2 linked regions of the Lepisosteus oculatus genome follow. The protein of the gene in region 2 binds, or shares a complex with, the protein of the main gene of each other region. Links are inferred from orthologs where the notes say so. Each region holds a gene or a part of one and is shown on either strand. Other genes may lie near its edges. The genes, in order: crhb and crhr1.

Region 1 (12,698 bases), on a different chromosome or scaffold from region 2:
AAAGAACATTTTGGCTCTGGAGGCTCTTTAGGTGTATGTGAAAGAAGAAAACAACAGGAATGTGAGGCAGAGAGGTGGGTAAGAAGAATAAAAGAAATATGGTGTGAGAATGGGTAGGGAGAGGTGAGACAGAGGGTCCACAAAGATGGAAATCCTGAAGATAAATATCAGGGGGATTGTGGAAGGCTGAAATATGTAAACGAATGGAGAAAATTAGAAAGAAGTTATTTTATCTTTTTTTTGTTTACTATTCATTATGGAATGAACTTTTGCTTGTTTCTTTACAGCTCGGATGCAGAGCAGACTCTCAAGTATACTGCTACTGTACCTCTTAAATGAACCCTTTTCAAATAGGTTCAGAATGGATAACTGGAGTTATGTGTGCATAAATACCTATATTCAGTGTTGCTATGAGTGAGGGAGATGTTCCAAGCTGCAGGTTTAGGTGAAAAGCACCATTTCGTATTTAATATAAAAAGTCAGTATGGGTGAACAACCCAGTACTCTCGGCAATGGCACCAAAATGTCAATGTGGATGGCAGTGTAACAGGACTCATGTACTGAGCAAGTTACAGAAATGAGATCACCTCCCTTCTGAAAGCTAGACAATGTAAACCTCTACCACAGAGGACCAGTCTTTTGGCATAGAGGAGCTAACTGCTGTCTAGACTGTGGTGCTAGAGTTTTGTGTGCTTTGAGCCCACAGGTGGCTGGGATCAATGCCAGTGGGATGATACTTTATTTGAAACTGTTTGCAAGTTGACCAATCAAGCACAAATGATCAGCACTGTGTTTATCTGTCTGTAGGAGGGCAAGAGGTTATCATCAGTGCAAACACTCAATGGGCTCCATAAGAGTTAAATGTGACTGTTCAACATTCAGTGTTTAAAATGATCTGGTTTAATAGAACTGTGCAGACATGAAGCTTTGGTATTTTGTTTTTTCACAGGGGCTAGCTTTCTGCCTGACAATTCTGGCTTTGTTTATGATACTCCGTCACCTTTGGAATCAGATTCAGGGCGTGATTGTAACTTTTATGGGTAGGATACTTATTTCCTTTTTGCATACAAACTAATTCCTCCGAAATATAGTTTATCACTGTTGTATGCTGAAATGAGACTTTGGAGTACTGTTTTGTGTGTGGGGGGAATTTTCAATTAATTTTTGGCATCCTGTTTTAAAATAACGGGACACTAGTTTTCTTTTTTCAGAGTTAATAAACAATTGCAAAAGCGGGAAAAGTACACTTCCCTTCTGTAAGATTCCTAAGCATTTTTTTTGACTCGTTCACATGCTTATTAAGAAGAGTTAAGTGAAAAAAACAACATGACAAAAGACACTTACAAATACACTTTCCAATTATCCTTCCTACCCTTTTAGTTTTACTTACATTTTGACAGATTGCCTTGGCAGAATAAAATGAGCAGCCGTGATAGATATGGATAATACACACTGGGCACCAATTTGGACTATTAGTGCAAGCGTAATAAAAAATAAATGTCATGTGGGCTCTAAAGATATACCATCACCACGGACTTTACCCATTTTTCACATTCAAAATATACTTGCACTTATCTAAATCTATACATATCCATACTGATGTACAAGATATACAGTACATATTTTATTCTACCAAGGTCCTGTAAACAATTTATTAACTTGTACATTTTTAAAAAAACTCTGCAGTACAGGTAAATCCCACAAAATAATTGGAATCAAGAGATAACATGACATCAATAACCAACAAGTAACAGGATACAACCTTTAAAATGTAATATTAATAGTTGGAATGTTATGCTGTAGTATACTTCAAACACATCTCCTTCAGTTCAGTGTTCTGTATGATGAAAGATGTGACCTTATGATTTTCCACATCCATTCTATTCCACCTATAAAAGCACAATAAATGAGGAATGGTATATAGAACTGACATCTTTTGACTAGTAATTGACTAAATCCTCCACCTATGACTATTCGAGGATGTATTCCATTGTTCCAAGGCTTTGCATAAAATAATTGGATATGATGGTTAGTTCAAATTCATTGGGCTGCACTGTATTCTGATGCAAAAATGGACAAAATCTTTTTACGTGATTTTGGTTTTCTCAAGTATTTATGTGCACATAGATGTATGAATGCCTTGAAAGTGATAACAAGGCAGCTATTTAATTACATTTTTTAAAGACTAATGGTGAAATACTTGAAAAGGAAGTCTGTGAAGGTCGATTTTACTCTTTAATGTTAAATTTCTCAATAGATCACTCGTTGGCTATGCCTTGTAGTCAAGGATGACTGTCTTGCATGAACCCGTACGTGAGTGAAAAGACCAACATACCCTGCCAGTTGAGAAGGTGTTGTCTGAAGAGATCATGTACTGTGCAATCTGGTCTTGTTGATATCTCTCTGATACACTTGTTTAGCTTACTTAGGCTGATACCTTTGAGCCTGAAAGCAGTGGGTTTTTTTCCCAGATTGCATTATAACTTCCCAGGAGCTGATATTGATGTAACATTCTTCATGAGACACTCCAGAGACAGAGAGAAACTAAATACATAAGATCTAATAATACATGTAAATAAGGTTCTACATTTCCACAATGTTAGGAGAGGAACTGTCTCCAGCTGTCTGCAAGCTCTATGAAAGTGTTTAACATTCAGCGAGGGTTGTCTACACTGGTGACAGATTGGACTGGTGAGAGAGCACAATGGGTTGAAGTAAGGTTTAATTTCTTGAGGAGATGGAATACAAAAAGGTTAATCATCTAAAGTAACATACCAACTGCTGCTATTTTAGGGAACACAGTCTCACTTGTTTAATGTATGCTCCTGGCCAAACAGGATTAGCCATTAGTTTAGCTACAGGCATAAAGGGGAAATGGAAAGACATCAGGTTGCATGCGAAGTCAAGGTTAGGAAGCAACAGGGTTGGTCTGGCCTCTTCAGCCCTGGTTTTGTATTTCCCTGTAGTAAAAGTGAGGAATTTGTACATAGACTCTTCACATCAATCTGTCAGGTTAGGACATCTGATATGTCTTGCTGGAAGAAGAAAGCCTTCTCTGAGAGCGTGCAGTCTGATATCTGCCCAACACAAACAGCCCAGTGGGGCTGTTGATAGATATTCATGGATTCAATACTTATATTGTCTGCCTGGGAGAGAGCACCTTTGTTGTTCTCTCCATCCTGCCATGTGATGTGTAAAATCTGCAAAGAACGTTGATGGTATAATTTCAGTATTCAGGATGTTTAAAAACAAATATTGTCAGACCTGCCGCTAGAGAGTCTGAAAACCCATTGTGGGAGTTGTTCAGTAACAGAAATGTTACAGAATAAAAACAGAAAATCCAGCCGCTGACTTACTGTACACTTGTAAAACCCATTCATGCCAAACACACCATTAGTGAGTTCCGTGTAAGAATGTGTAAATAAATCATCACCAGTAATATAATTAATGCCAAATTACCACCTGGCGATCCTATTTACAGGTAGTAGAATACATGTGATGTCCTTTTGTGGTAAATTACTCTCTCTATAGCCTAGCCTGCTACACTTTTCCTTTGATTGTAGGTGTGACATCTTCTGCCACTTGGAATCTGGGTCTCTTTTTGTTGGTTTTCTAGGGATTTTTTGGCAGCCAGTTTGATAGATATGATTGCATGGATAAGACAGTCAACAGTCCAGTGGTCTTGAGCTAATTTCTGTGCTCTATATAGTTTAAAGTTTTTAGCCCTGCTAGTGGTTCATGATCACCACTTAGAACAGCAAACTGGTATTCCTTGATCAGTCATCCCAGCACTCACCAGACTCAGCTTTGCTTATGAGATCAGGATAGAAGCAGAGAGTGCTGCAGTTGAATGTAAAGCTATACCTCACATTCTGAAGAGGCGTCACACCCATTTTGTGGAAATTGATCAATAGGATGAGTGATCAAGAGTATTAAAGTCATAAAACTGGCATTTGTAACCATCGCCCAGTCCTTTGACTAATCCAGTTTGGCAGGCAGTCACAGTATTACTCTGCCAGACTTCTTACCACTTGTATGGGAAGATGTTAAATAGGCTTACTTGAGCTAATAATTAGTTGCTTTAGCCGTTGAGAGCTGTGGACACACCAGCCGTCTAGGACCAGGACTGGACCAGGACTTCATGAGTTTTATGGTAAAACGCCTACAGTAGGAGAGATGTCAGAGGATGACATTCAGAGATACGCTCTTAAAGAGACTCAACAAAAACCTCACCATTATACTTATGGAATCTAGTAGGTTAGTGCCTCTTATAGAGAAACTATAACATAACCTTATTTATTTTAGCAAACTGCTTTCCCCTTTCAGCTGTCACATTACAGTAAATAAGTTTCTGAGTGGATTGTTTGCGGGAACTTCTGTTTTATAAATATACAGTCTTATGTGGAAGTAATATCTTCAAGCAATAATCAAAACGTTCTGTGAGGCCCAGTAGATTTAAATATATAGCATGATTCAAAGTAAAGTAAATTATTTTTTAAATCAGGCATATTATTAATAATATGGAGCCACTATCGTAGATTTCCCTGATATATTTTATGATGAAATTCATTATACATATTAATGTTATCTGTGCAGTGTGTCAAATAAATGGCTGAAAACATACAAACCATATCATGTGCATTTTATATAGGATAATTGGATACTAAGGGACAGATAGGTGGCACAGTGGTGCAGTGGTTCCATTACTCCCTTGCAGTACTGGGGCCCTGGGTTCAATTCCTGGGCTACTATCTGCATGGAGTATGTATGTTCCCCCTGTGTTTGCATGGGTTTCCTCCCATGGTCAAAAAGCATGCTGGTAGGCTAATTGGCTTCTGGAAAAACTGCCTCTGATGTGAGTCTGTGTCAATGTGTGCCCTGTAATGGACTGGCATCCCAGTCCATCGTATACCTGCCTTGTGTCTGCTGCTTGCTGGGCTTGGGCTCCCCTGCGACCCTGAATTGAATAAAGTAATTATCCAGTGGATGGGTGCACTAAGAACCTGCAAGTGTAGCTGTATGGTCCATCTGATTTATCCACAAATTATTCCTCATTGTTTTATTCATAATCAAACACCCCTCAAAAGATGTAAGAACAAAATACTAAAGCGTCTCTCTCTCTTTCCGTCATTGTCTATTAGTACAGTATGTGTTTTTCAGAGCTGATGTTACTAAAAAACAAAATAATAGCTGATTTTTATACAATACTTTCTTACCTGGTAACAATTTAGGCTCGGGCTTTTAACGTTGGGTCGGCAGGGCTGGAAGCGGAACAAATTTGCAGTATAAACTACCTCAATTGTAGCGTAGGCGATTACAACGATACGTTATACTGTACACGATTTGCTCCCGTGTGCAGCGCACGCCTTTCAGTATCTTGGTGTGTTTACTGAGTGCACACAACCGCTTCTACCTCTGACATAACTGTAGGCGACGATATTTGTGTGCAGCTTAACTTCATTTTCAAAAAAGAAAGAGTTTTTCAACGTTATAAAATATGTCAGAAATATAATTTTATCTTACTCCAGAAATATGAGAAAAATTCCCTTTATTAAGCAAGCCGCCGTTACTAGAATTAATATAGCCATAGTAAATATAAGGTTTCAAGTTCAAACTAAATAACAACGTAAGGGTACCAAAACCAACAAAATATCTAGAGTAATGTAGTTAACTTTTGTTAACTTTGCAGTGGAAAAACAGCAAATGGGATATTGAAAATACACCAATATTTCCTCGCTTCCTTTTAAACAGGCTGGTTCTGAGATTGCGGCCGGCGGACCGAGCGAAAGTCAACAAAACGCAGAAGACAAAGGCGGCGACGGACCTCGGCACGTCTTCTCCTTCTCCTGGTTAAACTCCCTTAAAGAGTAGCTCGCCTTGTCCTCCAGACATGGAGCCTACAACAAGCGAGGAGCGACTGGTGAAGACAAGTGCCTCGCTGTGCTGGTGTATTAACTGTACCGTTAGGTACACGCACGATATGACGGAGATGTGACTGAAAAGAGCGGGTTGGGGTTTATAGCAATTCAACACCTTGTCTGAAACAGCTGATGCATTCTACATGGCTAAAGAATGTAATGAAATTGCTTGTGAATGAATGGATGCCAAGTTAACACTTTCAACCTTGAAAATACCACTGGTAAAACACCTAATGACACACTTCTGGTGCACGTTGTGAGAGGTGTTGGCACTCAAGAATTTACACAATGAAATGTAAACGTAACTTTCAAGCTTTTATTAAAAATATAAATATTAGACATTCTCTTGCACAACAAAAAAATGACTCGTTGCTCATATTATGTTTATTATCAAACGTAAACAAGGTAGATTACAGGGAAACTGAATTTCAGAGAGGGCATCCATTTCTGAATACGGCGTTCTGAAATTAGTGAATTTCCTACAATTCTACTTAAAATATATTGGGTTTTTTTTGTTTTGAAAATGTGAAAGGTTTTGTGTAAATGCTACGGTTTTGTAATATCACTGTTACAACAGTTATACAAATTAAAATGACGCATTTATCTTGCATGTATGAGCCAGTCTGATTACCAACCATCGAGCGGGCTACGATTCCTCATCATTTTCCTTCGTTTGAGGTTTAAAGCTATAAAAAATAAATAATGTAAAAGCAGCGCTATGGTACAGGATACTGTGTATTTTGTGCTAGATGTAAAACTTCTTTGGCAGATGGAGCTGTGTCACGTTCACTTCCCGATGATTTCCATCATTTTTCTGTTGCTGTGCGCTTGCTGGGCAAGCTGCTCCGCCCGGGCCATTTCCAAAACTTCTCGTAGCAGGTGGAAGGTCAGATCCAGGGAAATGGGAGGCTCTTCGGACCGCTTCCCTCTTCCCGTCAGGTCTTCCAGCTGGTCATCGTGGCTGCTCAGAAGCCGGTTGGGGTGACCAACTTTGCCTTGCAGGAGACGCTGTGTGAGCTGCATCTGGAAAGCCCTGTTGACGTTAGCCGGGGACGCGTCGGGGGACATGTTGGGCAGGTACGAGGGGGGATTCTGATTTACGTTGCCCAGGCGAATGAAATACTCCTCTCCCAGTCTCACCAAAAGCGGAAGGGAAAGCTCCTGTAGCTCAGATTCGGAACCCCGACCGGACTGGACAGCCCCCGGGCTTTCGATAGCTCTACATTCATGACGCGGCAGGAAGGCAACAAGCAGGATAGCAGTAGAAACAAGGAAATTGAGCTTCATGACAGGATATCAGCGGGAACCTGAAGAGGAAAGAGATTCGATTTTTTTTTGTTTTAAAAACTTAAGTTTGCGTGTTTCCAAACAGACACCAAAAGAACTACGTTAAACAAAACTCTCACCCTACCGAAAAACGTCATTCGGCGTTTCGTGTTGGAGAGTGGACATTCTGTGTATATTTTTATTGCCTTTCCGAGGTTTACAGGCATCAAAGATATTGACTGAATTGTACTGATATGTACAGCAGATCAACAGTTATCATTATGACAGTAGGCGCTTCAGCCAGAAATAAATTGTATAGAGATTGAGATGCTCCAAATTGTTTGTTAATGTGTGCAATATTAAAAAAAAAATCTACAGTATGCCAAAAATTCAGAATGATCATTTTAAAGTGTTTTCCCTTCCTTTGAAAAACATACAGAATAAGGTAAAGCAATACGAAGGCAAACTTATATGTACAGTACACAACACACATTCAGCTGTATATTCCCTACTATAAAGGCCCATACTTCTTATACATTTGAATTTCCAATGTTAATAACCTGTGGATGAAAACTTTAAAATGTAGGAATCTGTTGGTGTTACAAAACTAGATTTCTACTTGTATAAAAAATAAATTAATCCGTGACACCAAATAGCAGTGTCGGAGTCTCACACTGTGTTTTAAAACAGTATTAAAAACAGATACACTTCTGACTTCCTAGCTTCCTGCACCTTCAGTTTCGGAAATAAGAAATAATAAACGTATAACACTGACACTTTCTCTGTCGCTATTTAAACACTTATTATAAACAACGTATTGCACCACAAAATTACGAGGCTCTTAAAAGATAGTTTTCAAGTTCCCGTACCTGAATTACAAGAGAATGGCCGTACGTATGTCCGTGGACGCTGGTGACCAGATAAGGCTCACAGTTAAGATGCTGTTTTCTTCCAGGTTTGCTACCGGTCTGTAAAGACACCTGTAAACGAACTACTTCTTCAAAGAAAGCCTGGATGTTGGATTTTTATACCCCAAGACCTGTGACAAGTGTCACGCTCTGAGCTCAGATCTTGCGTCTGCGCAGTGATTTGCATGGGTAGACACCTGAATGAACAATGAATTTTAAAAGCTGGTGGGCAAATTTATTCCGCAACAGGAGTCCAATTATTTCCAGAAGTTTGTGTCCGATCGCCGTGACGTAATTCTACGCACAAGAAGTGCCACCGTTTGTTGCTTTCCCCATTATTTGAATGAACGTCTCTCGCCGAAACTGTAGTGAAGTTTTCAGATAACGGAAGAAGAAATCGATCGCTTTCTCAATTAGGATTCACCTGGCTCTGTCTGGTTGTTCATCAGTCCTTCTTTAACGCCTGAGCATCCTAGAACATTCGTTTTCGCATCCTGTGGTCAAAAATAAACAGAAATTACTTGTCTCTGTCCTTGGTACTGAAAATGAAACCGTAAAGGCTTGAGCAGTTCTTCCCAAAGTTCGATACTCGCAGTTTGTAAAAATAACTTGGCTCCAAAAAAAAAAAAGAAAGGAACAAGTCAAGATTTATTGCACGCTGAAAAGAGAAGAAAGGAAACACAATGTTTCGGCTGTGGAGCCTTCCGTAATGTTGTGTTTCCTTTCGTCTCTTTTCAGCATGGATTAAACCTTTACTTGTTCCTTTGCAGTCTACGCATGCTGGCGCAGCTACACACCTGAACTACTTCGCTACAAAAAAAAAAATCTACTTTACTCATTGTGTCACAGCCCGATAAATATTTCGCAGTTTTCCGTGCTCTTTCATTCTACAGTAAATGTTTCGAGATTGTTTTCCCGTCTGAAAGTGATCTGATTTTAAAGGTTGATTATGTTTCATCCATCCGTTTGGCGTTAAATCTTACAGGAAAAAAGAACTAAGCTTCTAGAGTATACAGTATGTGTATACATCACAAGTTGTTTATAACACGTTGTTTTTTTTCTTCTCTTATTCTGTACTGTATATCCGTCATTGCTTATTTTGATTGTGTATTAAGACATGATCAGCGCTATTGTCTCAAGCGCTTTCAAATCTTGATTTAGAAACGAACCATTCTGTGTGGATGCAAGTTTAGATTATCTTGTAAAATACCATACAAGTATAAATAATTTAATCAAGTAATTTCCAATCCACAATCCGAGTATTTTTGCTTATTGAATGTTAGTTAATGGCGAACCATGCACTGTGACTGTTTTTCTTCATGCAAACTGACAAACTTTTGACGTTTCTTCTATTCCACAGGAGGAATAACAGAGGAGCAGCTCTGTGAATACTGTTAGAAACGTGTTCGGTGCTCTGTCAATAGGCAAAAACACCCATTTCAACCAGTTCTGCATTTCCTGAAGTAGAAAAGTAGAAACACAAAACCTCCTCTCATCCATTTGAGAACTCGTTTCACGCGTCACACTGTACAAGTTTCATTCTTAGGAATCGCTGCATCTCTTTGTCGTGGCTGTGTTTTTAGAGAGTATTTCAGACTCCATTGCTCTAATGCTCTAAAAACACGGACTGAGCCTCAATAATAGAAATAGACTGTAATAGCTGGTCTCGATGAAGAAGACGCTTTTCATTGCCAGCCCGTGAATTGAATGTGTTAATCCCATATGACAGAGATTTATTTCACTCATTATCATCTTAATCAGTTTTTCAAATAGGTGATCCTGTGTTGTTTTCAGATCATGAGTCAGATATTAAATATAAATTAATAAAAGGTGAGTAAAGCAAAATAATATTTAGAGATCTGACTCATTATGCTGTATTTCCTGAGAAACGAGGTGACGTGTGCATTTAGCAATTATGGCAAGAATGATCAAGTAGTTAACTATTGCGTGGTATTATCGTCCTTTAATTTGTAATCCATACATATACATATGTAAATATGCGTTCTTTTTCAAACATATAAAGCATAAACACATCACATACTTCAATAACAGAAATCGGGGTGGTGTATGGTACACATCATTTGGGAGATTATAATTAGGACTCATTCTATTGTATGTTTGTTTTAACTCAACGGATAATTTAGCATTTTTTCCAAACCGGTCTTATATTTAAAATGCATTTAAAGGGATAATTGTTCTCGTTATCTAACAGGTTTTAGCACATTGGGAACGGTAGGTGGCGTCCTGTTCATCAGCACCATTAATCTTTGACAGGACGTCTCTGGGACAAAGATATTCTAGTACAGAGATACAGCAAACGAGATGAGTCATAGAAGAACTGCATGGTATATGTAGTCTGACTTTTTTCTTCTTTCACAACAGAGCAATTATATGAAATAGAGCAAGCGACACAAACAAACATTTCTCATAACCAATTGGTTTTGACAGTTTATTTTTAAGGCACTGTAGGAGGAAGACTCAATTACACTCTCTCTGTGAGTTTACTGGAACGTTGGTATTATTTTTACAATTCGAGTTAATGCGGCACATAGTGTTTCAGGATGTCTTAGGAAACAGTTTTCAGACGGAAGGCTGAAATACTTGTGTGGACATGAGAAGATAGCATCAAGCATGCAATAGCAAAATCAACCACGATAGTACAATTGAAGATGTAGCACGCTAAATGTGGATGGATTGACTTTTTATTATTCTAATTACCTTCATTGCGGCATTACTGTACAACTGCGAACTTCAGTTCGCAATTGTAAGGTCTCGAACAATTGTTTTCTTCTCTCTGTGTTGTGGACACTGCTCAGAAGTCAAATAGAACCCAAACTGAACACACCGACATACAATACAACTGTTCATTCTGCTGAATGTGGCTTGAGGGATGCCAGAGAATAACTTTACTTCAATAGCAAGGCTGGAAAGCTTTATTGGAGATGCTCTTGTCTTTCTGTAAAGAAGCAGTCCCTATGTTTAGTACTTCACACGTTTCCTCCTAACCTACAGTTGGATATGTCCCTAGCTCTTTGTGTTATGTTGGACCCTGGACTTTGTGACGTGTCAGCCTGTTAAATGCTTTGCCATACTATCTAGGTGAGGACAAATCGACAAAGACCTACAGCGCAAAGTTACTGGGACAAGAAAGACAGAACTGTTGTTTTTGCTTTACACTCAAGCAATTTCTATTTATCGTTGTGATCGTTAATATGAATGCTATGTACAATGTAACAAGTACTTTATTTTTGGGGTAATTCCATGCATAAAATCATATAACAACAAAGCCATAGTCTGTGTTAAGCCCAATGATTACAAGTGACCATAAGTACTGTGGAACATTCACTTCAAGTAAATTTCAGAGGTAAAAATCAGTATTTGGCTGCCTGTCCTTTTGAGGCGATAAATCATAAGGAAACCCATTAAGCTCCCCAAAATCTTAATCATTTGAAATGGTTGGCCAAGCTTTTTCTGAGCCACTTTGAGGTGGCTCCTATTCTCAGAGTGTTCAAGATTTCACTTGATTCTATTCCACATGTAAAATACATGCTCTGCTGGATTTAAATCTTGAGATTGACTTGAATAGTCATAGTTTTAACTTCTATCCCCTGATAAACTCCTTGGATGCATGAGCTATAGTTTTGGGTCACTGTCAGGCTGCGGGGTGAAGTACCGCCCAGTAAGTACAAAAACATTTTGTTTTACACGAACTGATGTTTTTTTGTGTGTCAATTTAAGATTTCTTTGTGCCACTATCTTTAGTTACATTGTCAATACAGGAGAGTGGACCAGTTGCAGAGGCTGCTATGCAAATCCAGTCCATGACATAACCTGCATCATGCTTTACAAATGAGGGGGTTTCCTTACAAATTCCGATCTGTCTTTTCTGTTCTCAGTCAAATGAGAGGCTTACATCTTGCGGAACAGCCTTTGTAATTCTGCTTTCCCAGTCCGCGAACTGTGGGTGTTGATACTGTACCTTCTCCCCTTTATCTCTGATAACTTCACTGCCATCAACTACAGCTGTTTTCCTTGCCTGTGCTGGGAATGGCTGTAATCACACTGTACGTCTGGTTTCCTTCTTCATCAATGTATTCCAAAAAGCTCATTGTAACATGCCCAACGTCTGGTGCTATTATGTCTGAGACTTCTTCTCATTCAGATTCAAAGTTGTGTGCTTTTCTTTCACAGAAAGTTATTTGATTTTTATCTTGACTATCAAGCATTGACTCCAGACACTGAAGTCAAAGTGAAACCAGTTGGTAGAGTGATTATGGCAATTGTGCTTATACTGTTTCCTTTTCAAAATTAAGAGGGTTAGCACTCTTAACTTCTTTTATTGACCCATGAGGGCAGACTTGACTTTGACATTATTAAAAACAAAAGCATAGGTATTGAATATAGCAGTATTTGTTTCAAGAGAAATTAATATTAGAGCTCATAGTGAAAACCCCAGCTTAGACATCAATGTCACTAGTTACCCAACTTTTTCTTTTTCTGAATACTGCATTTGCCATGTGACTACCCAGTTCTGAGTAATGTATAATTTGATTTTTTAATTTCTTTATTTCTATTTCTACTTCGCCAGAGTCAGGTAACCTTTAAC
Region 2 (12,698 bases):
ACATACAGTGGTTGTGGTCTTTTTTAACAGAGAAGGAGCTGCAGGCAGGAACAGATTTGTAATGTGGTATTCAAAATTAAAATACCAAACTCAAACATTCAATAACAGAGTTTAAAGAAACCCAGTGGCAAAATCATAGGGCCTTTTCCTCCAGATAAAATATCTCCGTTTCATGTTCTCTTAATTGAACAAAACCACATTTTAAAATGTAAAAAAGAAATACAACAAGCAAAGAAAGCTTTAGGACAAGATGAAGTAACTGAAAGATGATACAGGCACTCTGTCTGCATAGTAACTTCAACAATGTTACTCCACACAATCTGTCAGATTTAGAAGTCCTTGTCTGCACTAATGTACAGGTTTATTTTTTATGGCAGTCATCTTCAGCAAGTAATTTAACCATGTTCCCTGGTGTAAAAAAAAAACAAAACAATTTAATCGTTTTAACTAAGATGAATGCTTTCTTGACTTGAGATTCCAGAGACTGGGATACTAAACAGTTTAAACAATAGGTGAACTCAGAGGGGATTCACATTGGCAACCTATTCATGAGACACAGAAGAGGTACATTCATTTCCAGGCAATCTTTTCATAATATCCTTCCTTCAGCAGTCAATTGTTCTTAAGTGTTATTATACACTTTTTCACCTTTTTTGTGATACAAAAAACTCTGCATTAAGTGATTACATTCTCCACAGACTTACCAACCAGCTATTGCTTTATTATTTTTCATGCTAAGTAATGTATTCCAAAAAAAAATCAACTAAAAATGAATTCTAAATAATGAACACCTTGAGTCAAAAAGTAAAGAATCTCAAAGGAATATTCCTTGGGTCTAAGTGTTAATTACACAGCGATTTTGACAGATAAATGGCATTGGTATATCTAACAATATACGAACATTTATAAATGAGACAAGGGCATTGGGCCCATCTAGGTGGATTTAAAAAAAAATCAAGTAGATATCTAATTGATGCAGAGCCATTTATACACAATTCAATACAGACTTGTAAAAAGAGTGGTGAAAAAGGTTATCATTCAAGCCAGTTTGTTTTCTTTTTAACTGAAAAATGTGTATGTGTAACTATATACAGTATAATATAGTTCTGGACGAATCAGCATGATTAACACATAGAATGGAGCAGACTTCAAGATGAATGAATAAATGCATATAAACCAGAAGTTTAGAGACATCACCTACTGTATATATTTAAGATGGAAAACCTTCATTTAGAAAACCATTAAGAAAACCTTAGATATTTAAGCTGACACTTCATAATCATCTATACAATGTGAGGAAGTAATTAAAAGGGGTTTTCGGGAATGTTTGGATACAGCAGATATAGTAAAAAGTGTATTTGCATGATGGGATGGTACGCTAAAATCGTACAAAGCACTAGTAAGACCTCCTCTTAAATTATTGAGGACAACCCCAAATTACAAAAAATTCAAAACACTCCAGAGAGGAGTGGTCAGATATATTCCTGCTCTAAAAAAGAATGTTCTATCCTGACTGGCTCAATGCTACCCTGGAACCCCCAGCTGCAGTAGTTCTGCAAAGAAGAAAACTTCACCTTTCTCACAGATCTGCACATTACGTCTTATTTTAATGGCAGTGCTTTATTTGCTTGTCCACACAGAACGACGTGCCATTCAGCTGCCTTGAAAATGCTATTCTGTTTTTTGCTCTGTTCTGAGTTTTCTCCGCTTCAGAGCAAAAGCTCTGATATGATCTGGGTTCGGATATGTTGAAAAATGCTCCCTTGTGTATGTCATGAATCCCAAACTAACTTTAAGACTACGAAGCTCTTTAAAATAATAATAATAGGCCAGAGATTGGACAGGAACTCACACTTAAAAATGAGGAAAGCTGATAAACAAGTAGAGTGTAATCAAATACATTAAATTTAAGGGCAACTTGCAACTCCTGTGAGTGATGTTTTTCCTTGATTGTTTTGAACGGACTGTGCAAGTGGAAACAATACACCTAATCTTTTGGGAATGTCACTGCCACCTTATTTTGGGACATTCATATCTTGGAGAAACAAACGGCGATGAAAACCAGCTCAGTCCCCGCCTGACAGGAGTGTGGGGGCAGTTTCAACACCTTGCGCGGAGAGGTCAGCAGGTTAGTGAAAGACTGTGGAGAGGTGCACATCAGAGCCAGCTGTATACTGGTATGTGGGTGGTCAAGAATAGATCCATCTCCATTCCAGCCTACAGCCAACTCTTTGCTCCACCTAATGATTAGCTGTTGAAGCAATCTTCAGTTCTTGCATTAATTAAGCAGTTTAGGGTCAGTCCAGTAATTGATTCATCACAAAGTTCAAAGTCCTAGACGAGGCACACAGTTGAACAGCCCAGGTTATCTACCCCGATCTAGGTATGAGTAGGTGACAATGGCATTAGTTCCCATCTCTGAACTACCAGTGACCCCATGCACATTTGTAATGTCTAAATTGAAAGCAGGAATGCAAAGTGCTATTCCTAATTGCTTTAGGGGTGGCGTTGTGTCTGTTATCCCCCGGGTAACCGAACAATCGCTCTCCTATTGCAGTTACATCCATTGCAAAACTGCATCGCAAAATGCCAAGTACAGGTTTTAAAATAACTCCCGGTGAACTGGCTGTCAGGGTCCACTTCAACAGTTTTCAACCATTTTCCCTTGTTGTTAAAAAGAGCCTGGTAAATCCTGTAGGATCATTCAAATGTTGAAAAATCTTAATTCAGAAGCCTTGCTTGTCGGATTAACTAAATGAACTTGCGCACAGTATGTAGTGGCTCTCTCACGCCTGCGCCCTGGGGCGCTGTACACACACACACACGGACACAGACACAGACAGAGCCGCTCTCGGAGTGAAAGTGAAAACGCCATCGCCGGAAAGATGTTGAACTCAGACCCCTGACGCCGAAGAAAATATGACCTAAAGCGTACCGTCGCAGGAGTGTTGAACTAATAACGCGGCGTCCAAATGAGCTAGGGGCCAGGCTGCATGTTACCACTGACATTGCGGCTGCTTCTGCTATTTCGTACATTGTGCTACTGTATATGTTCATTTGACAATAACCTCAATTAGGCCTACTATAATTACTGGCATTCAAACTGTAAATGAAAAATCCTTCATCATGTATTTATTGGACAGACATTGTACATGTCGATACCACAGGGCATTGTGTTATGTTCCTATGTTAAGTATCGGATGCTTGGATATACATTTGTTTCGTCACCATGGTCTTTTTCCGTAGCTAGCCTATCCAATGGGACATGCAATATCGGAACACTTAAACATTAGTCATTAACTTTTCCAATGGTAACTGATCGATCTCGGTTTTTTTTCCCCACTTTCGTTGAGTCGCCGTGAGTACAGCTGTCCATTCTCATTAACAGTGATTCGGAAGGTCATTATTACATAATAAAGTGGGCATAATCGTTTTATGATTGTACTCGGTGTTTAGCAAGCATTAACATTTAACTTTTTCCAGGACGTTTTAATACTATGGAAACGCTGTTAAACCCCTCTTCAGACCTACAGTATTTGTTTTGAGTGTTCACAGCGAGCATCCATGAATGCTAAACCACGAACCACAAAGTCGCACCGGCTCAGAAATGAATGACATACTATCCCCAAGGCACTACGGCGAATTTCATGAATCAGCTAGACTAGTGAAATGTCTGGAGCTTTTTAACTTTGAATAGGAGTGAGGTTTCACTACACTACCGTAGTATTGCGCAGAATCTTTCCGCAAAACTTAAATATAAAGAATATACAGTACAGCTTTTTGGCAAAACTTAAAAATCATCATTTAAAAAGACCTCCCCCATGCAAATATAAGTGCCATTAGATACTGTATGTGTTATTGGATGTCAGTTCATTCTAAACGTTGCCGATCACGATGCTTTCGAATGGAAGTTGTATTTCTAAAGATACATACTGTACCAAACCCCTCGGTCTCTGTATTAAATTCTCCAGGTGCTGTTGATAACGTTGCCTGAGTAGCAGGAAAACACCGGTCAGACCGTTAACCTCTGCTATCAGCGCAACGAATAAGCGAGCGCATTCGCCCCTCCTGTCCGCATAGGACACCCGAAACCACCGGTACACACACTCACCTGCAGAATCTGGGCGCAAAGCATTTTTCTGGGATTGTAACTGAGGTGGCACATGTGTCTAGCAGAAATGACAGAACTCTTGTCTTCACACAAAGAGATGTTTTGGGTGAAGTGATAGTCCTTCTTCCTTAGGCTGACCGGAGAAGATCAACGTTTCAGAGTCTGTGCTGGAATTACTGTTGTATTGAACTCACCAACACAGCGGTCATAGTGAGTCCCGCTAATTTCCGCATCTTTGTAATAATCATCGCATGGCTTTTTTTTCTTTTTCTGTGTTTATGCATTAATAGCTCCGTCTAAAAAACGTGTAGACTACAAAAGTATCCAGTTTAAAATGTCCGCGGCCGTGAAATATCCCCAGTCATGTTACTGTGCATATCGTGTACAGTATGTACCTGATTTTAATCCTAAGCATTGGAGTCAGTTTTCGTACAAGAAAAACAATCTCAAAATCCTTTTCTTGGTTTCAGAGTTCATACGTGGAAAAATGGGACATAAAAAAACAACTTTACATGATCATAGCAAAAGCTTCAGCGCAAGCAGTTTAATTTCTAGAGCGTTATACCGGAGTGTTTTACATTCAAAATAAGATTAATCGGTCTCCTCTCGAAATCCCAGCGAGGTGCTTGCTTATTGTAACTCCTCTTATCCTATCGCTGACCTACAGGCGCTTTATCTAATTCTCTGGATAATACGCGCTCCATAACTCGAGTTAATCTGTTTCGGTGAACCCAAATTCATCGGGTTTAATGAATCCAATATGATACCCAATCGTATTAGGTGTATCTGTTTGCTTTTTATTATTAGTCATGCTTTTATTAATATTGAATTCCTCCAATCAAAGCCTGTGTTGTTTGTGGATGGTAATCGGTCACACGCTACATGCATTCGTCCAAGCCTTCCAAAAAGCGCGCTGAAACGTTATGCTGCCTGTCCCTTGTTTATAGATTCACTGAAGGCTGCGACCTGTCCATCCGAGCCTCCGCTTCTTTCAGACTAAAGCAATGCCACAGTCGCCAAATTCTTAGCAGAGCAAGTGTCTGCACTCGGCAGTTCAGCCGGCAAGATTTCCGTGCCTGCTGGGACGTTATCTGCTCTGCCGCCCAACTCCTGTGCAGTTTGTCGCTGACGCTCGGAACAGTCCGGATGCTCCGAGCTGCCGGGGATCCTTCACAGAATAGCTCCTAACTCCGGCACGTCCGGAGACAGCATCGCCCGGCGAGTCCTCCAGGGGGGCCACGCTTGCGCTGCTGCCTCGGGGCTGAGGGTATCAGCGGGGGCGCCCGGCGTCCTGGCTGGGAATCCGGTGACCGGGGCGACTCCTGCCGCAGCCTGCGGTCATTTGCCCCGCCGTACGACTTCAGGGCTCCCGCAGAGTGAGAGCGCTTCTCCAGACCCCCTGCACCACTATCACTGTCGAACTGCGCCCTTAAACCAATTTATGTTCTTCATCTTAATGTCTGTCTTTTAAACTCTGAAGGATGTCCCTGTCGCGATCTACAAGGGTTTTGATGTTTACAGTACAGTTCGCTTTGGGTACAGTATTAACCAGTTCCCGATTGCTGGTGTCACCCGGCGTTTCAGTCGGTTGCAGATATCACTCCCGGTCCATGTTTCTGTGTCTGTAGTAGAGGTCTGGTTTCTTAACTAGTTTTATCCCGTCCTCCTGCCAATACGGGAGCTTACTGCGCACTGAGAGCAGTCGAGCTGTGCAGCGCGTATAAGACCACTCCTATCTTTATTCTGGGGCAAGCTACAGTATATGTTACCATGGGGATCTCCTACCTATTTCGGTGCCGGCAAACCTGACAGGAGCTCAGGAATTGCTGTTACCGTGTTGTTTTACTTTTATCTGAATAAACGGATAAGAATAAACACATTGACTATTTGCAAATATAAATCAGACGCTGATTTCAAACCGGTGTTTCGTTTCTCACCTATCAATAACCCTCCGGCCCTTGTCGGTTTAACGAGATGTACCAGAATTTGAAGTCCGTAAGCGATTAACCAACATTCAACATGTTCGTTTCACGATTCCTCGCTGCGCAGAACTGCATCATGTTGAGGGAGTCGTGTCGGAATTTACGGCAACACGCAGCGGGATGTAATTTTCCTACCTTCGCCACAAACTATGAAATTAGGCTCCGGGAAATTGTCACAGCACAAAGAAACGCGGTGTCGATGTCTTTCCTTTTATTTCCAAACTCCGTTTGGCCGATGCTGGCCGATTTTATTTATAATGTAAATGTACAATATAGTGTATACAAGCATTCTTCATATACTAGGAGCGTCGAAGGCGTCGGAGCAGTAGGTCTTCTTGGTGTCGGGGAACGCCACCTATGAGCCTATGAGACCGATGTCAGGGCTGTGAAGAGTAAAGATTTCTCCAAGCCCATAGTTTCTCATTTCACCTCTGACGGCCCTGATCACATTGATCTCTCCATCTGAGTTCTCAATGAAGGGTTTCTCAACTCCCGCCGCAGAAAGACATCAGAAACAAAAATTATCCTGAAACCTGGTTCACACCTTCTCTCAACGTCAGACTTGTTTTCGTGCAATCTTCTCTATTCACATGCAGATTTCGACTTTACCCCTCTCTTCACCTCCTCCCCTCTCCCAACTTTTGTTTTCCTGTGTTATTTCATCTTTGCTGCCTGCCCTGTCTTCCTCAGACCCGAAGAAGGCTCCACAGCCGAAACGTCTCTTTTCAGCATGGAATTAAACCTATGACTTGTTCTTCATGTACTTCAGCTTGAAAACGGAATCTAAATAGCGACTTTAAAAAAAAAAAAGACCGTTCAGAGGCTTTAGGAGAGCGAATCGGTTAAAAGAACGTGCGGACGCTTGTGGCATGTTCTCCGCCGGCTCGTATCTCATCTGAAGCTGTCGTACAGCAAAAAAGGCATTCAGTCAGAAAGCAGCTCCTATGACATTCCATTAATTATCCCCCTTCAATTCGAGGGTTATGGATTTTCGATCCCATCTCTTTCAGAAAGTTCTCTGCTCATCATCAACATCATTTTTCAAATCGTCTTGTGTTTCAGGAGACACGCTGTACGTCTTCCACCTGACGGAATATTGGTTGAATGGACATTTTTTGCGTGGTCTTGAAAACATTTCTGAAGTGCACGTTATCATTAACTGATTACAATTCATTACATTAATTGCTTACTTCGAATACAATAATATTTGTAAATTTACCGATTAACCCACCGGTTGCGTTTGAGCTCAATTATAGTCATTTATTTAAATAATTAGATAACTAATACCAATATAATAGATTTGTAATAGTTGTTTTTTTTTAAATTACGTTTACCAACACCGGTTTTGGGGTTAGCCTATTTTCCTGGGGTGGGTTATCAAAGCCGAACTATGCTGTACTGTTCTCTTCGCTTTCCGTTTACACGAAACATCAAATTTCACGCTAAACGGAGAAAAGTACAATCGGAGTCTCTTCGGAATGATCATAGGAGCACATTAAACCAAACGGGCCGAGAGAAAATTGCAAAACGAAAGAGTTTGTTTTCCCCGGAGGAGACAGTGGTTGAAATTCTGGAATAACCTGATGTCTGTAAGAAGGCGGACGCCTCTATATCTTTTAAGTTCTTGTATGGAGCCGACTACCTGCAAATTGCTTCGTGTGTGTAAGATGGTGTGGATTGGAAAGCAAGCTATATACTACCCAGATGATATAGAGTTCTGCCAAACTGTTTCACCCCGAAAAGCCATTTAGTATTCTCTTGCGGTTCCCGTGAGGCATGCTGATATAAATTATGTTGCTATCGTGCTACTTTAGAAAATGAAGGAAATCGCTGATGCCTACCTGCAGTGCCTTTTGCTCAAACAAATGCTTTGATAGTTGTTTACTCTTAAAGCGTCTCATTATCGGCTACTCTGCGCTGAAGAGCAATAATGATAGAAATCGCACAAGGCTGTTCCCAGGTGTGAACACCTCTGCACTTTGTGCTGCGTTAGCACGATACCTAATTAGACTACGGTGGTGGCGAATTTAGGAAATGTGCTGCATTATTTGCTCTAAATAAACCACGAGTGTTTCAAGGGTAAAAGAAAAAATTATCAGAAATCTTCTGTTGTTCTACAGTATGTGTTTTCTTCCCCTTTTAAAAAAATAATAAATCTGAGTACCAGGCAAGCTCGGGTCCTGGCGTTTGTTTAAAACAGTTCCAGGCTATATTAGATGACAGTTTTTTTTCCATTAGATGACAACGTCATGGGATGCGCCTTCTCCTTAAACCATACTGGGCAAACATCCTGATATGGAAACCCTGCTTTGTTTGCACTGTGACTGGCCTCCAGTCATTGTGTCCTTTGGTGTCTATATCTAATGCTACAACCCCAGGGTACCTGCCTGCTTAGCACATCCAGCACTAGCACCCTGAAGAGCTGGAGAAACTACTGAATTGGTCCAATTAAGCCAATACAGAGTTTGCTTAGGCGCTTAAGTGCAAAGCTGGAACAAAACTGTGCATGTACACCAGCCCTCTGAGTTCTTAATTTTATAGCCCTGATCAGCTGTGAAAATAAACATGATCTTATCTTAGATCTGTAGGTCTAGTTAGGGACATCATTTTAGTAACTGATCAGCTAAGTATTCCAACTGCATCAGTCCGAAGGCATGGGACTCTTCAGGAACTGCAATGCTATAAAGTAATGACAAGAGTTTGCTTCAGTTTCCCAGTAACGCAGGGCTCTGTATATGAAGGAAGTCAAAGAATAGCTTCCAGGCCTTGCATACAGCCGGGCTGGTTTTATAGTTATGTACAGTACTTAAGCTTCTTGCAGATCAATTAAATAATGAATAATGTAGCACAACTCTTACTCCTCATGGCTGAGGGTGATCGTGGTGGTCCTGGAGGGCCCGTGTGTCTGCAGGTTTTTAATTGCAACTCGGCTCTTAATGAACCCAGTCAGCTCATCATTGGCTAAAGTGGACCACTCTGGTGCTGCTGCTGCTTTGAATAACCCTAAAACCTTACAGCCCCCCCAGGACAGGGATTGCTTTGCTTTAGAAGCTCAGCAGTTGGGTTCCTTCAGGATGAAAAGCATTATATTAATGGAAGGAAGTATCCTTAATATCTCAGCCCTGGTGCTGAAACAAACACGACTCTTGTTTCTGGTCCAGTTGAGCTCGTCATTATTAACCCCCTTATATGAAATAGAATTGCTTGAAAATAACTATTTAAACTGGGTTCTGTGCTCAGTCCTGCAAACATATTTTGCACGGATTCATTGAGCTCAGCCTCATTCAGTTGTTCCAGTGTTTAAAGCCTCCTGCTGTCTAACCACATCTTTAAGGTGTGAACCAACTGTTAAAAGTGACCAACGACAGGGACAAAGAGCTGAATAAGGACATCCAGAAATGAGTTTCTTCCAAAAACAGACCTTTTTTCTTGCAAATTCGTTTTCGGCTGTAAAACTGTAGATTCCAAGTTGGGTGCAATGATGAATAAGTAATGTGAAAACTTCAGCTTACCGAGGGGCGTCTGAGGACTCTGCTGGAAAACAGGCCAGCAGAAGCTGGGATCAGAAGGATGTGGTTTAGGGTGCTCTGTGGTAAACCATTGTTACTGGTTTGATGTCTTTTGATCTCTCACCACTTTTACCAACATTCCGATGGTTCCAGCATAAGAAACAAATCCTGGTTTGGTCCTAGCAGGTAAGGACCTGCACATCACTCTCATGTCTCATGTCTCGTGTTTCATTTCAGTCACGGATTTTAGGAGTTGGGGCGGAAGAGGGTTGGGGGAAAAGTTATGGAAAGGACACATCAGCACTGCCATTTCTATGCAGAGCAGATCAAAGATTGAATAAAAAAGAGCTTAAGGGAGCTCAGGTGCAATGCTCTTGGCCCTCTATTGTGATGTCCAGAGAGAGAGAGAAAAGATTTGGCATACTGGCTGCTACAGACCCGTATTGTTGTGAAGTGCGATACTACATAGTCTCTGTCCATGAATCTAGGGGTCACCCATCCACAAGACCAGACAAGAAGTTTTATTGTGGTTTGTTGTCTTTTAACCTGTGAAATGAAAAAGCAGATAGGGGAAAAAAAACTTTGATTTGTGTTCCAGTCCAGCAACCATTTTACAAGGTAATGGGGGTTAGAAAAGCCCAGTGTATTACCCCCTGGAGAGCAGAGTGTCTGCAGATGTAGTAACCCAGATGTAGCCTAATAAGCCTATTAATATTTGATTATTTCAGGCGGTCTCAGTGGATAATGCCAAGGAATAAAGCAGATCCTTCAATATATCCCACCATTTATCATTTGAATGAATCTCTGAAGGAGATGAGCTGAAACCCAACATTCCAAACTGTTTAGAAAAAATGGTATAAGATGCAGCATCTTGATAATGCAGACAATTACAAGGTTGGTAATGGATACGTTTCGTAGAGATCCAAGCTTACAGACATAAATGGGGTTAAAAGGATAGTTCATTTCGGGAGAGATTCTTCACATAAATTAGCCATCCACCCTGCCAAGAGTCAGGCAGGCTGTTGGACTGCAGTGTACTGAAAGGCCTGGACAGAAGCCTGAGCTTGGCCGTAGAGGTCTACTAAAGGAGACTGATGAGATGTCAGCGTATCGGCAGTTACCGGCAATGGAAAGGTGTCGTCACGATGCACAGTACCAGTAGGCCTAAATTTGACACTCCTGTAACCCCACATTTCCAGCTGTCATGACAGTTCTGCTAAATATTGCCAGACAAAAGTCACTGATTCATTTATTATCCCTCACGTTCAAGGATGACAGTCTTCCACGAAGCTGAAGGTGATTGATGAGGCCGGTGCCAGATCTGCAGACTGTCTGGCAGCTTGAGGAGGTGTCATCTCAGAAGTCGTGGTCATGTATTGTGCAATACACTCATGGCAGCTCGCTTCAGGGCTCTGCTTCCTCCTGGGTTCTCGCTCTGACATCATTGAGTCGCAAAGTGCTGGTTTCCTATCCAGATATTCTTGCTTCATTGGGTTAGGACAAGAGCCATAATCTCCCAGGGGTGGATATTGATGCATTTCTTCAAGTTGCCTTTGACCAGGTCTTTGAAATGAAAGACTCTTCTGGCTCGCTCTAGTGTGATTGCCTTGGCTAAGCTGAGAGATGAGAGCCGTGAAGTGTTCTAAGTTTTTTTTTCCTATTTAACGATTTGCTCTGCCAGGGGGAAGAAGTTATTGTAAACCATATAGTTTGAAACAACACCTTGCATTTTCCAATTGTTTAAAGAAAAGTGCATACAATTTTTGTAATCGATGTCATACTTCAGCAATCAATCAATCAATCAATCATGTAGTGAGAGTCTATTGGATGATTCACCAGAATGTGGATTTCTTTCGCATATGCCACAACGGCGGCATTAATTTTGGGTCACATGTGTGTATTTTGAAATGCAGTGCATGAGAGCTCAACAGCTCAGCAGACTGGTGAAGAAACCCTGTTCAAATTGAAATTTGTATTTATTCTGCTCTAAGGGTATCTCTTCCCACACATCTATTAATTTGCAGAGCAGTATCTGCAACGATCTGATGAGGCTGCATTGCTTCTCAAACTTTAAAATGATCCACGCTGTCATGCAAGTAAAACATCAGTATCTTCGTTGTGCAAAAGCTTTCAGGAAGAAGCTGGCAGGTTTGGACCAACGGAATCGACTTCCAGCACACTGCCTGTAAGGAAAAGCAACGGTAACAGGTCTTTCAGTGTAAACTCTTCAAACATCCAGCATAATCGCAAATCACACGCCACATCCATAGCCTATAAAAGAGCTTTTGAGGTCTTCACTTCCCGTCTTATTATTTGTAATGTATTTTTTAATGAGCCCTTAGGCAACGCCCACCGGCAGGCAGCCCAGAAATCTTCCTTTCCAGTGGAACTGCGGCCCTCAGGACAACGCAGGCAGAATACCGAGTCCCTGGGCTCGTAGGTGCAGGCAGTTAAATTACCGAAAGAGGATAACGGGAAAAGCAAGCAGGCAGTTGAAAAAAGTGCACAGAGTAGTCCACTTGACAGTCTAGCCTGCTGGTAGTACACAACTTCACACGTGTTGCTTTTTCATCCAGCATTGATCACCATCTGTTCGTACAAATTACACACTTCATTAGTGTAAAGCAGCTACGATTCGCACTCCTTTATACAGTTGTGATTTTACGAGAGTAAGTTTTGGGGGCAGATCAGCGGTGTCTCACCCGGGTTTTGAAGCCCCAACCTAAAAACACCTTAATGTCTCCTGCTCGCATCAACTTTACAAAGGCATGAATGCATTTCACCATTGCAGCCATTCCAGCACGAGTTTATATATGCCTTTCACATGATTGGCCAGAATATGTACTAAAGACGAACAACTGATTTTTATGTGTGCTTAACTAAAAGATTTCATCTAACTGATGCAAAAGCCTGGGTAATTCACAAGATACTATACTATGCATTATACTATGCATACACTCATCTCTGGTCAGTGGTCTACACTGATTTTAGTGTCTGGTGAAGATTTAAGTTATGTCTCTACCTGATTCTTCAATGCAATACATTTGCAATAAATGCTTGTGAATCCAAGTCTCTGATGGCTTGGCTCTGTTGATG

Evidence for each region.
Region 1: the proteins of crhr1 (region 2) and crhb are in contact, whole or in part, in a cryo-EM structure (PDB 6P9X), measured with the Homo sapiens proteins. The link is inferred for Lepisosteus oculatus from reciprocal best matches to the Homo sapiens genes CRHR1 and CRH. Residues at the interface, in NP_004373.2 of Homo sapiens: Lys113, Tyr116, His117, Ala119, Val120, Asn123, Trp169, Val172, Gln173, Met176, Ser177, Pro178, His181, Thr192, Tyr195, Asn196, His199, Phe203, Phe260, Gly261, Lys262, Tyr267, Tyr272, Gln273, Met276, Ile277, Leu280, Tyr327, Phe330, Phe331; in NP_000747.1 of Homo sapiens: Glu156, Pro157, Pro158, Ile159, Ser160, Leu161, Asp162, Leu163, Thr164, Phe165, His166, Leu167, Leu168, Arg169, Glu170, Leu172, Met174, Arg176.

Annotation. Positions count from the first base shown.
Region 1 is NC_090701.1:51,254,128-51,266,825, forward strand, and holds crhb (corticotropin releasing hormone b), read right to left. Parts: upstream 8,708-12,698; 5' UTR 8,054-8,707; intron 7,226-8,053; 5' UTR 7,206-7,225; coding exon 6,705-7,205; 3' UTR 6,242-6,704; downstream 1-6,241. Other genes in the region: trim55b (tripartite motif-containing protein 55b), read left to right, coding at 5,752-5,871. UniProt on the Homo sapiens protein: Hormone regulating the release of corticotropin from pituitary gland. Induces NLRP6 in intestinal epithelial cells, hence may influence gut microbiota profile.
Region 2 is NC_090723.1:8,132,637-8,145,334, forward strand, and holds the start of crhr1 (corticotropin-releasing factor receptor 1), read right to left. Parts: upstream 8,024-12,698; 5' UTR 7,995-8,023; coding exon 7,935-7,994; intron 7,084-7,934; exon of another isoform or gene 4,166-7,083; coding exon of another isoform or gene 4,112-4,165; intron 1-4,111.